Linked DNA regions of Drosophila melanogaster. The protein of the gene in region 1 binds, or shares a complex with, the protein of each later gene. Each region holds a gene or a part of one and is shown in the gene's direction. Other genes may lie near its edges.

The links. The genes of interacting proteins can lie anywhere in the genome.
Region 2: MED23 (region 1) and MED7 share a complex: the UniProt entries of both Drosophila melanogaster proteins name them as parts of the mediator complex.
Region 3: MED23 (region 1) and MED21 share a complex: the UniProt entries of both Drosophila melanogaster proteins name them as parts of the mediator complex.

Annotation. Positions count from the first base shown.
Region 1 is NT_033778.4:22,886,929-22,894,935, forward strand, and holds MED23 (mediator complex subunit 23), read left to right. Parts: upstream 1-1,999; 5' UTR 2,000-2,085; coding exon 2,086-2,124; intron 2,125-2,186; coding exon 2,187-2,280; intron 2,281-2,334; coding exon 2,335-3,299; intron 3,300-3,357; coding exon 3,358-3,444; intron 3,445-3,499; coding exon 3,500-3,702; intron 3,703-3,754; coding exon 3,755-4,131; intron 4,132-4,191; coding exon 4,192-4,366; intron 4,367-4,422; coding exon 4,423-4,911; intron 4,912-4,969; coding exon 4,970-5,296; intron 5,297-5,355; coding exon 5,356-5,579; intron 5,580-5,637; coding exon 5,638-5,720; intron 5,721-5,776; coding exon 5,777-5,924; intron 5,925-5,993; coding exon 5,994-6,651; intron 6,652-6,712; coding exon 6,713-6,853; intron 6,854-6,911; coding exon 6,912-7,221; 3' UTR 7,222-7,497; downstream 7,498-8,007. Other genes in the region: asrij, read left to right, coding at 1-320, 379-605; Gmer (GDP-4-keto-6-deoxy-D-mannose 3,5-epimerase/4-reductase), read right to left, coding at 698-865, 922-1,479, 1,538-1,652, 1,707-1,831; CG3700 (uncharacterized protein), read left to right, coding at 7,537-7,789, 7,855-8,007. UniProt on the Drosophila melanogaster protein: Component of the Mediator complex, a coactivator involved in the regulated transcription of nearly all RNA polymerase II-dependent genes.
Region 2 is NT_033777.3:10,759,521-10,763,004, reverse strand, and holds MED7 (mediator complex subunit 7), read left to right. Parts: upstream 1-1,972; 5' UTR 1,973-2,071; coding exon 2,072-2,401; intron 2,402-2,462; coding exon 2,463-2,795; 3' UTR 2,796-2,934; downstream 2,935-3,484. Other genes in the region: Cap-H2 (chromosome associated protein H2), read right to left, coding at 556-758, 980-1,161, 1,389-1,422. UniProt on the Drosophila melanogaster protein: Component of the Mediator complex, a coactivator involved in the regulated transcription of nearly all RNA polymerase II-dependent genes.
Region 3 is NT_037436.4:25,114,374-25,117,483, reverse strand, and holds MED21 (mediator complex subunit 21), read left to right. Parts: upstream 1-1,537; 5' UTR 1,538-1,655; exon of another isoform or gene 1,656-1,759; 5' UTR 1,760-1,780; coding exon 1,781-1,822; intron 1,823-1,878; coding exon 1,879-2,265; 3' UTR 2,266-2,560; downstream 2,561-3,110. Other genes in the region: Set1 (SET domain containing 1), read right to left, coding at 2,587-2,760, 2,817-3,110. UniProt on the Drosophila melanogaster protein: Component of the Mediator complex, a coactivator involved in the regulated transcription of nearly all RNA polymerase II-dependent genes.

The DNA of each region.
Region 1 (8,007 bases):
CGTGATGGGCGTCATTCTGGGCTACTTTGTGGGCAAGTTCAGTTACCAGCAGAAGTGTGCCGAGAAGATCATGCGCCTACCCAACTCCCATCTGGGCGAGCTGCTGCGTCAGCGTAGACAGGGCGGCGGTGTCATCAGCTCCATCACACCGGACGAGAATCTGGGCAGGGCCTTCACTCTGGCCCCCTTCTCGCCGAGCTCGGCGGACGTGTACAGCGATGAGGCGTATCAGCCCGGGAGGAGCACTTCTCTCAATCTGGACACGGAATCGCGCCCTACTTTGTCCGGCCTTGACGACATCTACCGCCCCACCCTGGACTGTAAGCTCATCTAATTCTTCGCATTCCCTATTATGATTCTGTACATTCTCCTTCCCAGCAGCTGGTTCAATGCTGGAGGCAGAGTTGCCCTTGGAGCCGTCTAAGCCGGGCCAGTCTTACGAGGACCTGCGACGAAGGAACCGAGAAGAGTATTCGAAGCACCAGCAGAGTCCATACTCGCGACCTTACGAACCACCAGTTGCCGTTCAACAGCGACCCGTGGAGCAGGCACAAAGTGAACCCGCTGGAAGGAAGAACCAATACGGCGACTCCTGGACTGATTAAGGTATTGTTATTTTGTTGGACATTAAACGCGCATAAAGTTCTGTGAAAATTCGTTGTCTATTTACATTTTTTTTTGGGGTTGGAATATTCAATTACTTTCTAGCCTGGTCGTAGTTTTCTATGTACCACTTAACCGAGGCGTTGATTGCCGTTTCCAAGTCCGTAAATGCGTAGTCTGGCAGGAAGGAGCGAAGCTTGGCATTAGACGCAGTCTTTTTGTACTGTCCATCCGACTTGCTCGTATCACAGACCAGTCTTCCCTGGAATAAATCAAGTTAATATCTTGCCTTGTCTCAAATTTCGCTTTTTAACCCACATTAAAATTAAATGCTTTTGCAACGGCTTGGGCCACCTCGAAGATCGTCACCTCCTGCACTTCGTCCGCGCTTAGGATGATGGGCTCCACACTTTCGTAGTTCCTGAGCACCCAGATCATCAGCTCCGCCAGGTCCCGGGAGTATACAAACTGCCGTAGTGGCATGCCGCTTCCGAAAACGGTGAACACCTTGTCGTTTTCGGGGACGTCAGTCTTCTCCGTAACCAGCTGGTGCATCCTATAGATCATGCCCGGAATAACGTGGCTGACCTCTGGATTATAGTTGTCGTGGGGACCGAATATGTTGCACGGAATGACCGAGGTGTACACCCGGCCATATTTATCGTGGTAGGCGTGGTTCTGCACGTCTATCAGTCGCTTTGCGTAGGAGTAACCATAATTGGAGGGGTGCGGCGGCCCATTGTGCACCATGGTCTCATCTATGGGGTAGCTGGTTTTGTCCGGAAAAATGCATGTGGACAGGCAGGACACCACCTTCACGCATCCCTGCTCGTGTGCCGTTTGCAGGACATTGTCGTTAATGAGCAGGTTGTTGCGCTAAAAGTGGATTCGCATGAAATGGGTTTTGGAATCATCTGTGAGACCAGGAGCTCACCAAGAAGTCCAGGTTGTTGTTCATGTTGTGGAACAGGCCTCCGACCATTGCAGCCAGATGGATGACATGCGTGGGCTTCTCTCGGGCGAAGAGTGCCTGCGTGGCGGCCAGATTTCTGTGGAGAGAATTTGTTTACGGATACGTTCAATTGAATTTCTTCATGACTTACGTCAAATCTGCATCTTTAGAGCCCGCAAAAAACCATTGCTCGTCCTCTGGGGACTGCTCCTTGATCACAGCCTCCAGGGCCTTGCCCACCAGCCCAGTTCCGCCTGTAACCAGAACTTTCTTCATGATTTTTGTGCGATTCCACAAATCAAGTCAATTAGTTTCTAAAGTAATTTTCGACTCAATGCGACCAGCTGCTTTAAATGCCGGCTAATCAGTCAGTGCTGCCTGCCTGGCGTTTTTAATCTAATCCTTTAGCTATTTCTTGTTATCAGAAAAAGCCACTTTTAGATTCTTTACTAAGCCCCATTTGGTCACACTGTGCCCAGGTAGTTTTTGTTTATGCGGTGTCGGATATGCGAAAAATAATTTAAATGGATATGGAAACGCAAGTTATAGACACCGTTAACGAGTTTCTGGTAATAGTGAAACCCTGCGTCTCCAAAAAATCACCCACTCATCCACGCTCTCCATTTCGCAGAAGGTCGACTCCCTTGACGAGGCGTTCGTTAGCGTCATTGTATTCAAGCCAAACACCGAGCAAGAACGAGCTACCCGCTTCGCCAATGATTTGGGTAGGTAAATGCGTCTGCTGGAACTCGAAAATTGTTAAAAACTATCTGTTTCAGTTACCGCCTTTGGGAACGTGGCGCAGGAGAACCGGGAGCAGGTGCTTCGGCTCTACCTGTTGCGTGCCGCCGGTGCCTCCGGATATCACATCAAAGTGCTGATGGCGGCACTGGTGAAGCTGGTGGACGCACACGTGATCACCGCCAGGATGCTGTGCGACAAGGTGCTGATGTGCGAGAAACTGGACTTCGAGCACAGGACCTTCTGGATCGAGAGCTTCCGGCTGATCAAGCGTGTGATCGTCCAGGTGGACTACAAGGGTGTGCGCGAGATCATGAAGGTATGCCGCGACAAGGCACAATGGTTTCCGCTGAACGTCAACGTTACCTACATGCCACAGCTACTGGCCGTTGAGGATATCCTGCGATTCATCTTTGATCGCAACAATTGCCTGCTGCCCGCCTACTTTATTGCCAACGAGATTATGCGTCCGTTTCCTTACCACTGGAAACTCAACCGGCTGATGACCGACTTTGTCGAAGAGTTCCGCACCACGGCACAAATGGTTTCGATCATTGGACATGCCAGCATGCTTCCCATCGTAGAGCATTTCGGCTATGCCGATCACATGATGAACTCCTGGCGACTGGACCACAATACCCTGAAGTTTAACTTTAAGGGTAGCCTGCCCTACGAGCCAGAGCTGCTCGAAGAGCAGAAGCCCCTACTCCGCTACGTTTTGGAGCAGCCGTACTCAAGGGAAATGGTCTCTCAAATGCTGAACCTGCAAAAGCATCAGAAGCAGCGCTACAATGCCCTGGAAGAGCAGTTGGTTAATCTCATAGTGCAGGCCATGGAGATGACGGAGGCGAATGATGCCACTGCGGGAAGTGGCTTTAACTCCTCAGACGAGCAGATCACGCCCTACGAGTGGATGTGGCTGCATCTCTCTTCGCAACTAATTTACTTTGTGCTCTTTCAGTTCGTAAGCTTTATGCACATAGTGTTGGCGCTCCACGAAAAGGTAGGTCCATGGTGGATGAAATTAATATTTCTTGTAATTAACTACTTTTCACCTATAGCTTTCCAAGTTGGAGCTTCGCAAGGGTCGCGATCAACTTATGTGGATTCTGTTGCAGTTTATATCCGGAAGCATACAGAAAAATCCTGTAAGATCCTGTTCTCCACCTGATTGATCTTATTTTTAATCGCTTTTAATTTTAGATCACCAATTTCCTGCCTGTGTTCAGATTGTTTGACCTACTATATCCCGAGCTAGAGCCTCTTAAGCTGCCAGATATCAATAAATCCTCGATGGTTCGCCATATGGCACCCATTTGCGTTTGGATTCACCTGATGAAGAAGGCACGAGTGGAAAACATGAACATCACCAGACCATTGCCAATTGCACTGAAAAACCACTACGAGTAATACCTCTAACTTCCTTTGGTGTTTAGATACTAACTGCTTAATTCCCAGCTTTCTGCAGCACCTAGTCACGGCTAACACCATGATGAACATGACGCTAGGAAACGACTTCCGCATAATTCTCATCTGCAATGCATACTCAACGAATCAGGAGTACTTCGGGCGTCCCATGGGTCTACTGCTGGATGCCCTAAATGGCACTTCAAAATCTCCAAACGGTGGCCAAATCCCAGCCGTAACTTTTTCGGTCACGGTTCTGGACAGCTTGACGGTGCACAGTAAGATGTCGTTAATCCACAGCTTCGTAACTCAGATGTTAAAACAGGCCCAAAGCAAGGGTCAAGTTCCAGCGGCTGCACTACTGGAAACTTATGCCAGACTTCTGGTTTATACAGAAATCGAGTCGCTCGGTATAAAGGGATTCCTGAGTAAGTACAGCCTGTTGAAGTGATTAAACAATATGTTTATGGTTTTTTTTCCTCCTAAAGGCCAACTGATGCCAACAGTGTTTAAGAACCATGCGTGGGCCATGCTGCACACCTTAATGGAGATGTTTTCGTACCGGCTGCACCATGTTCCTACTCACTACCGGGTCCAATTGCTGTCTCTCCTTCATTCTCTGTCCTCCGTGCCGCAGACAAACAAGATGCAGCTCAATCTCTGGTTAGTTATACGTTTATCGAGTATAGACTTCTTTCTAAGTTCTTCCCTTTGTATAGTTTTGAATCTACTGCACTGCGTCTGATCACCAGCATTGGATCCGCCGAGTTTCAGCCGCAGTTTTCGCGTTACTTTAACGACAAATCTCCCGGAGCAGTGGCGTCTAATGAGAGCGAAGAGCTAAACAGAGTACTTATTCTTACGCTAGCTCGATCCATGCACGTACATGGTGGCGGCGATGAAATGCAGGGATGGTGCAAGGACTTCCTTTCCAACATCATTCAGCACACGCCGCACTCGTGGCCCATGCATTCCCTAGCCTGCTTTCCGCCCGCCTTAAACGAGTACTTTACGCAGAACAACCAACCTCCGGAGAACAAGCAGCAGTTGAAGAAGGCCGTGGAAGAGGAATATCGAACCTGGACGTCGATGACCAACGAGAATGACATAATTGCGCACTTCTTGCGTCCAACTACGAATCCTTTATTCCTTTGCCTTCTGTTCAAAATAATTTGGGAGACGGAGAACATAAGCCCAGTGGCTTACAAGTGCGTAACATTATGATTTAAACACAATCATTTTTTCTGACCATACCTTTTTTTTTAGAATTTTGGAGGGTATAAGCGCGAGAGCCTTGTCCACTCATCTGCGTAAATTTTGTGACTACTTGGTGGCTGAGGTAGCTAGCTCATCGGATGGCCGCGACTTTATTCACAAGTGCGTCGACACCATTAACAACATGATTTGGAAGTTCAACGTTGTGACCATCGATAGGGTTGTGCTTTGCCTGGCTCTGCGAACGCACGAGGGTAACGAGGCTCAAGTCTGCTTTCTCATAATTCAGCTGCTCTTGCTGAAAGCCAGCGAGCTGAGAAATCGTGTTCAGGAGTTCTGCAAGGACAATAATCCTGATCACTGGAAGCAGAGCAACTGGTAAGTTGGACACTTGATTTTGTTAAGAGCACAAAGGCATAGTTGTTATTATTTCTCAGGCAGGACAAACACTTGTCATTCCATCAAAAGTATCCAGAGAAGTTCGCGTTGGACGAGTCAGCTTCACAGATTCCGCTGCCCGTGTACTTCAGCAATGTCTGTCTGCGATTCCTTCCCGTTCTGGATGTGGTAGTGCACAGATTTATCGAACTTACCATTACAAATGTCCACCAGATATTGGGCTTCATTTTGGATCATCTGAGCATACTCTACAAGTTTCACGGTATGTTAAAAGTGGCTTTCGAGAATTTCATAACTTTAAATTACCCTTTAAATTGCAGATCGACCTATAACATATCTGTACAACACCCTCCATTATTATGAGCGAATCTTACGAGACCGCCCTGCGCTAAAGAAGAAACTTGTAAGATTTGTTATGAATATTATATTCCCTTCTTCTAATACACTGTGTTGTTCCAGGTTGGCGCTATCACCAGCGCCTTTAGCGAGATTCGGCCGCCCAACTGGAGTGTTAGTGAGCCGTACAAGGTGTATTTGCAAAGCCAAGACTCGCTGTGGACCCCCGAATTGAGCTACTATATGAGTTTGATCAGGAGACTTGCAGACAGTAAGCTAGGATTTGGGAAAATACTATGATGTGTTCATATATTCATGCGTAACCCCTTTTATTTTGCAGCAATTAGTGGGAAGAATGTATTTTACTCCACCGATTGGCGTTTTAACGAGTTCCCGAATGCGCCAACCCATGCGCTCTATGTGACATGCGTGGAGCTGCTGGGTCTGCCGGTGGCACCGCCACTGGTGGCCAGCAATCTCATCGATGTTATAGTAAGCGGATATGCGGTTATTCCGCAAAAGGACATTCACAGCTACATTAATGCTGTGGGCATTGTTCTGGCTGCCTTGCCTGAGCCCTACTGGAGCGGCATATACGATCGCCTACAGGATATGCTCAACACACCCAATATGCTGAACTGGACCTACAGATTCAATGCTTTCGAGTTGTTTAACTTCAAGACAGTGCGTGAGGCGATGCTAGAAAAGACCTACGCCGTGGTGTTGGCAGTAGCTCACTCAGTGTTCCATCACATGGGCGCCTTTAAGCTGGCGGCAATGACCAGGTACCTCAAGGAGAAGCTAAAGCCGTGCGTGCGAACCGAACAACAATTGCTGTATTTGTGCCACGTTTTTGGCCCCTTCCTGCAACGAATAGAGTTGGAAAAACCGAACGCTGTGGCTGGCATAGCCGTGTTGCTTTACGAAATTCTTGAGATCGTGGACAAGCATCATGGTCCGAAGCCTCTGCAGTACATGGACCAGATCTGCGATTTCCTGTAAGCAAATCCACAAAATCGCATGAAAGGGTACTAAACAAATGTGTTTGTATCATTTCAGCTATCACATTAAGTATATACATGTGGGTAATATCATTAAGAACGAATCGGAAGCCATCATTAAGCGGCTACGGCCCCTGCTGCAAATGCGCCTGAGGTTCATAACCCACCTTAACTTGGAGGATATTCACACTGAAAAGATGTAAGGGCCATTTAATTCAAACTCTACTTCGGTTTAAACATAACTTTTCCAATTTCAGCAACGACAATACCAGCAATAATGCAATAACCAGCCAAACGCAGTCTCCAATGCAAACACAGCATCAGCAGCAGCCGCAGCAACCACATCAGCAACAACAGCAGCAACAACAACAGCAACAGCAGCAGCAGCAGCAGCAACAGCAGCAACAACAGATGCAGCAGCAACAAATCAACGCAGTACAAACAACCAGCGTTCCCTTGGGCAGCGGTGGCAACCTACAGCAGCAGCAGCAAATCAACCAGCAGCAACAAATGTATATGCAGCACATGCAGCAGCATCAGCACATGCAAAACATGCGCCACAATTAGACTTTGTGGGACTCCCAAGTCAGTTCAAGCTGACATAACGACATAAGCCTAATTTATAGTAGTATTATCTTATATTTTATCGCTTATTGCATTATTCATTTTCCATTGAATGTGTAAACAGTTCTCAGATATGTTTAAGTTAGATACTAAGGGAACTTTTTGTAAGTCACAGCTGTCGGCCCAAGTCCTCCCTCCAGCTTTACAATCAAAAGCTTGACTTAATAAGCCCAGCTTAAAGCTCTTCGTAGATAACCTGTAGTTGGTGATCTTGTCCACCTCGAGCGCCGTTCTCAGTTGTGATCGCAGAGCACTGCGATGTATGCGCTTCCGGGAATCCAGATTCTGTTGCTGATTGCTTCAGTCAGCGTGGTGACCGAGTACTGCGACAATGGAACGGGCGAGTGCAAGGAGCTGACGCCCTCCGACTGTCCAGTGATATTCTACAACCAGCACCTGATCGGAGCCGAAGTCAAGTACTGCGACGAGTTCAACGACATTGTCTGCTGTCCCATACCGCTGGATCACCAGAATCTGAAGCCAGCCGAACAGACGAGGCCTTTTGAGAAGCGTGAGGAGTGACTGCAACAATTCCCTTCGATTGATGGAATTTGAATATTCGTTTTTTTTTTTTAGAGTGCAAGCAATACAACGAGGTCAGATCCGCCTGCCAGTCCACGCCCTTCATCGTGGGCGGCACAAAGGCATCCGGTAAAGAGTTTCCCTTCATGGCCCTAATCGGCACTCATCGGCCCAACAAGTCCAAGTCGGACATCAATTGGGATTGTG
Region 2 (3,484 bases), on another chromosome or scaffold:
TATTATATCGCTAAATGCAGATTAAAAGAGGATAAGATTTCTTTTTTTTAAAGGACTGATTATTATGTAACTTAAATATTATAATGAAATCATCTTATGTTTAATCAAAATACTGGTGCTATCTTTAAAATTAATTAGACTTTCAACATTTAGGTCAAATAATCTCCCCAAATTCTTTAATGCCGGCTGATAAGAAAGAATTTAAGTGAATTATAATGTAAAAATATTTATTTAGGATGTGATCTATCTCTGAATAACTTGTTATTTTTATGAATGAACTGTCTACGTTTTTAGCTTCACTTGTCTGGTTAATTTCTCATTTCTTTATATACTCTGTTTGTTATTTGTTTTTGGAAGCACGAGAACGTGCCCTATCGTCCATTAACGGCAAGCCGGCTTCTGTGATATTAATGCAAACAAAGCCGAAGGGGGCGTAAAGTGAAGCTCGATAAGCGGAATTCTGGACCGAAAAGAGCCAGCAATGGCGACAAGTGGGGAGCACGTGGCCTTGTCTTTCTCCATCTTCTTAACTCTTCAGTTCTGAGTTAAACTTACGCAGCACTTCCGCTAGGGGTCTCCTTCTGCAACTCCGATGTGAGCAGGGCTTCGATCTGGTGCTCCACCACCTGGCACAGGTACTCCACTCGGTCTCCATAGATCTTGCCGCAGTACTGGAGGGCACTTCCTGCGGCCACGATGGCCGATCTTCGAGAGACATCATTTCGTCCTAAGCAGTGGCGCAGTAGCTCTTCAATATACTGAAAATATAAGCAATGTATTTGAGGATCTGCAGGCTTTTGTGTTCACTGTAAATAAAATAATAGATTTTCTTGAAAACCCATTTATATAATTTTAGTTAAAATACCAGTTATCGAGGCATGACTGTAAAACCCACGCACGTTGCGTCACACTTTTATTTTGATCTTTCTGCTCTTCGGCGGTTTTGCTTATCTTGATAATAGTGGTCTTCAACACTCACATATCCCAGTGATATCCGTAGGTCCGTGGAGTAGTCCGTGTTTTTGGAGAGCTCTTCGAGGAGGACGACTAGCGAGGCCAGGTCCTGTTGCTCATCGTAGGCGCGGATGCACTTGGCCACTTGGGTTCCCGGCCGATTCTTGGCTATTTCCAATATCTGCTCCCGCGCTTCGCTCAAGTAGGCTGTGAATTAAATAGAAACCGATTGGATTTACTTAAGCAAAAACCACACACCCAATCGCAGATCCGCTTTATTGTTTATTTCGGCCCTCCCCATACACACACACACACACTCGCATAGAAGCACCAACACACGCGGTATACTGGAAATAGCGCTGACTTAATCAATGGGAAACGAAGATCACGCCTGGGGCTGTCCTGCGTTGGTTACCTAAGTTCTGGATGCTTACCCGCTTCCGCTTCTTCAGGCAAAATCCGCTCCATGGCTCACTAGATGACACTAGGAAAAGTTTGTTTTATGTCCGGTTTTGCACATTTTACTGGCATCGTGCACAAGCACTGCAAGCACGCACACACGCTGAGTGGGGAAATCAAAATGGTGGAGGCAGCACGGCTTGTCTCTTAGTTGGGTCCAGTTATGTTATGGTTTTACGTTTTGTTTTCATTTCTTTGGCAGGAACAGGAATATTGGCGCGAATCGGTGCTGGAACAATTAGCTATTCACATCAAGATATATATGTGTTTCTTATTTTGTTGTGCTCTACCGACGAATGAGGGAAGAGACGGAGAAAAATTGCTATGGCAATGCTGTAGGGGGTGCATGCAAGCATGGTCACCTTTAAGTTATCGATAGCTAGGCACGGTGAATCATTTATTATTTCGAGCTCGATTAATATCTAATTTAATTTTTGTAATTGTAAATTATTTGTCAGTGTCTCAAAACATATTATAATAAATTCTGCTTATTATTGCATTGTCTAGCTTCAAACCTCTAGTGTGCTCATTTTTAAGAAAACAATTTGAGTGATAGTGTCATCACTATCGTGAGTGATTCGCCTGTCTCAGGTGCCATCACTTCTTCAAAACAAAAATCATTTATTATTTTTGTATTTCCGCACTTGTTAATCTCATAATGTCCAACCAGGAGACCCAGGTTTCCAGCCTGCCGATGCCGCCGGAGCGGTACATCGCCAATTACACGGACGAGAATATCCGCCGCAACCGAGCGCCACGCCCACCGCCGCCGCCGGCGCAGCACGAAGTCTATAGCATGTTTGGCATCCAGTACAACAACGACGAGATGATCCGCAGCTTGGAGTCCCAGAATATTAAGCGACTGATCCCCATCCATTTCGATCGGCGCAAGGAGCTCAAGAAGCTTAACCACTCCCTCTTGGTCAACTTCCTAGATCTCATTGACTTTCTTATCCTGAATCCTGACAGCCCGCGGCGCACGGAAAAGGTGAGTCAATTGACCCATTAAAATGTAGCATCTATTGTATTACACTCATTTGATATCTTAGATTGACGATATCAGTCTGCTGTTCGTCAACATGCATCACCTCCTCAATGAATTTCGCCCACATCAGGCGAGGGAAACGCTGCGCGTCATGATGGAAATGCAGAAGCGGCAGCGCGTTGAGACCGCCGCCCGTTTCCAAAAGCACTTGGAACGTGTGCGCGAGATCGTTAATACCGCCTTCTCAGCTCTGCCGGTTCTAGATGATGACGACGATAGCGGCGGAGCAAAGATTAAGACGGAGGTGGATCCGTTGGAGGCGAATGCGGCGGCCAAGAATGATCCCAGTTACCAGCACGATCGCATGTTGTGCAAGCTTGTGGACGCTATCGAGTAAGCTGAGTTGGCAAAAGACTGGACATCGACGCTGGAAATAGTGTCAATCATTGTGAATGGCTTGGAAAAAAGAGCTCCTCATATTTATAACTCCTTTTAGTATAAGAAATAAAACCCCAATTGTGGGATGAGAATCTTGCACGTCTAATGAGTAATTCATTCAATGGGAATTAATGTGTTAAGTCATCTTTGAGATAAGCTTTACACAGATAAGATCCGAGATAAAGGCTCATGATTAAGCATCCCACAAATTTCACCATTAAAATGACGTAGTCAGCGTGGAGTAATAATATAGTCAAATGTCATAAATTAATAATCTATCTAGAACAATTTATTCAGGATAGGAATAACAATATAAATGTATATATTTAATTGTAAAAATTGTAAAGACATGTGACATGACATGAGACATGAACACCTCACACGTTTTCCTACTTTTAATGGGTGCTACCGCATGGCATCATCGTGGCTAGCCGAAATATGCTCGTACAGTGCGTTTCATAATGTACATATACATATGTGGTTTTAATGAATTTGTATGGAGTTTCATCAAAATTACTAATTTTGTTTGATAAACATGATTAAAAAGTCAATAGAGATATTCATTCACAACTGGAGTATAATGTTTTCCCTAAAATTTTTTTAACTCACTGTGCCCTTTACAAAATCCAACGTGTTTTTCTAAATAAA
Region 3 (3,110 bases), on another chromosome or scaffold:
CGCCGGCATTATCTGCTAAGGAAAATATAGACAAGTCAACGGACACTGTTGAAAATATTCTAGTTTCGGGTGCAAAGTGACGTATGCCCACCAGCACTAAGAACCTTTTGTAGAGAAAAGACAGTGATGAGAAAAGAGCCAGAGCAGTTGCTGACCACTTACAAATTTTATTTCTACCAAATCCTGCTATAAAGTCATTATTCTCCCTCCTTTAGCAGAAGCAAACTTAGATTATGTGAATTAGCAAAGGTTATCAAAAAGCAACTGAAGCGATTTTGGCTTCGACCTAATAACTCAAAAAATCCTTATTGAACTCCCAGTGTGATGTTCTGCACATGTGCTTGTTGTTCAACGCAATCGCCAAGCATGGATACTTCCCTCAAAAATGGAAAAAATCTACCATAGTAATGATTCCAATGCCAGGAAAAGATAAAACGCAGCCATCATCATATAGACCGATACAGTAACTAACTTATCTCTAAAATTTATTTGAAAAAATGCTACTCCTGGGAATAAGCCCTCGTCATGGAAAAAACATGGAACCATCGAACAGGCCAATCGAATCACGTCAGAAATTCGTACTGCTTTTGAGCATCGAGAATATTACACAGCCATTTTACTAGACGTCGCGCAGGCATTTGACAGTGTTTCTGGATGGACTTTTGCTTAAACTAGCCAAGCTATTGTTCCAAAACATACATAAGCTACTGAAGTCGCAATAAGATGCAAGGAACCTTCACTGGCTCATGCTCGCTCTCCACTTAGCGTGGAGTTCAAAGCTCTCCTATACAACTCCGTCTTAAAACCAATCTGGACTTATGGCTCCGACCTGTGGGGCATCCATTCAGCGAGAACAGCCAACAATTCTGAGAATTCTGACTAGAGCGTGATACCTTCGGAACGAAGACATACACAGAGAGAAAAAAATCAAATTATTTATCGAAATAATAACTGAGAAGAAAATTAAAATACCTAGTAAAACTGACCACCCATTCAAATCCCCTCACAAGAAAACTAATCGGAGGCACAAAGTGTTCGTATCATAAAATCTTTGTTGCTTTTAAAAACCTTTAAAAAACAAGAGAGGTAGCTTTAAAATTTTTCATATGACATCTTTAAGATATGGTGAACCGATTTAGATATGTTAAAAATTAAAAGAATAATTATCGTGAAAAAGGGTACGGCTGTTCTTACTGATATTTATACCCACTTAATTGGACTGAAATGCTTTTTTCACTTCGTTGCAAGCTTATAACTGAAATCGATATACCCTCCTCAAGGATATACCAAGATTGTGTGAGAGAGGTTGCAGACTACTTGGAGACCAACTGCTTCCTTGTTATAACCGAAATTGTGATGATTTTGAACAAGACAAGAGGGATCGATGTGCAACGTGTGGTCATATATTATGGAGATTCCACTGTTTCCGACAATCTTATGGTAGTTTATATCGTTGGAATGAAGACATTATTATGGCACAGTGTGAACAAGAATAATTCGTCTCATTGAAAGAAATCACGTTTTAGTGTGGAACTCATATTAATAGCATTTCTTTTTTTAAGAGAATAGTCGCTGCTGTGAGGTATCTGTAAATAAGACATAAAATCAATCGATAAATAAATGCTTATATATTATAAAAATCACCAACGGTCATTGTATGTTGATATTATGTTGATTATGTTATGTTGATATTAAAAATGTTAATCAAAATTTGAACTGGCTAATCAAACTTAATTCCATATAATTTTTTGTTTTTCAGAATTATTAACTCTGTAGTAAAATGGCGGATCGGCTTACACAATTGCAAGACACCGTTAATCAGGTAAGTGACTTCGTATTAAGAAATAACCAGTTTTTTATGTAAAATAATCATTGCAGCAAGCGGAGCACTTCTGCAATGCTATTGGTGTAATTCAACAAACGTCCCTTCCAAGTAAATTTGTTAATTTTGAACGCATTGGACCCCAAACGCCAATCCCATGTCCGCCGCAAGAAGACTATGCCCAATTATTTGCACAGTTAATTGCACGATGTGCTAAAGACATCGACACCTTAATCGAGTCTCTTCCAAATGAAGACAGCTCCATTGAACTCCAAAATTCTAGCCTTAAGAGGCTCGAGATCGAAAACCAGGGAACTGCAAGAGACCTAGAGGAAGTAGTGCAAAAAGGCGAACTTTTGCTAGAAAAAATGCAGTATTCTTTGGAATGCATTGCTCAGGCTCAATTAGATATGCAAATAACACTCAAACATGATTTACAATAGCTGCTTAACACATTTTTGTATAAAGGCAAATTATTTTTAAATTTAAGATAATGTATTTATTGCATTTTCGTTCGTGTTTACAGATCAAATGGGTTTTAGTATATACATATTGTTTTTATAAGTAAAGTATTTTAGCTTAATTTAGACCTAAACCATTTTGAACAGCACCTCTGACCTCGTTGATATAATTTTTATAATAATTAATTATAGTTTTAAGTTATAAAAAAAACTATATATACTTACACGTACCCCACTTTGGATTTTATGAACAAATTAAATTTATGTGCTCTAAAATATTTAATTCATTGTTGTAAATAAGTATTAGTTAAGTGTACCCCGACATCCTTGGGCGCCGCATAGACAAGGTATTTTTTCGTCTTCTAGTGGAAATTTATAGTCGTAAGTTATTTCCTCGTTGATACCAATGGGTTGCTTTGAATATATTACTATCTTCTTTTCAGATTCAATAGTTATAACCTTAGCGTAGCAATTCGGCTGAAAAACAAAATTTTATGTTGGTAACATAATGTCAGAACATCCAGCTTACTTACATTGCAACTGTGATTTATAAACCGAGCTAAGTTTCCACATTTAGTTGCGTCAATTATAGTTTCCATGTCAATTCGAAACAAATAGGAACTCCCAATCCCAATTGCTTCATACTTTGTTTCTCTTAGATCAGCAACTACAGGTCGAATCATCTGACCAACATATTCAATAACCATTTCGTCTGCAGCTATGGGCTCCATTGCAAATAATCCCCAATCATGTATCGCAGATTTTGCAAACTTAAGCTGTTTCTTCCGAAACTTTAGCTGATTAAATTTTAAAAGCTCAGACTCACC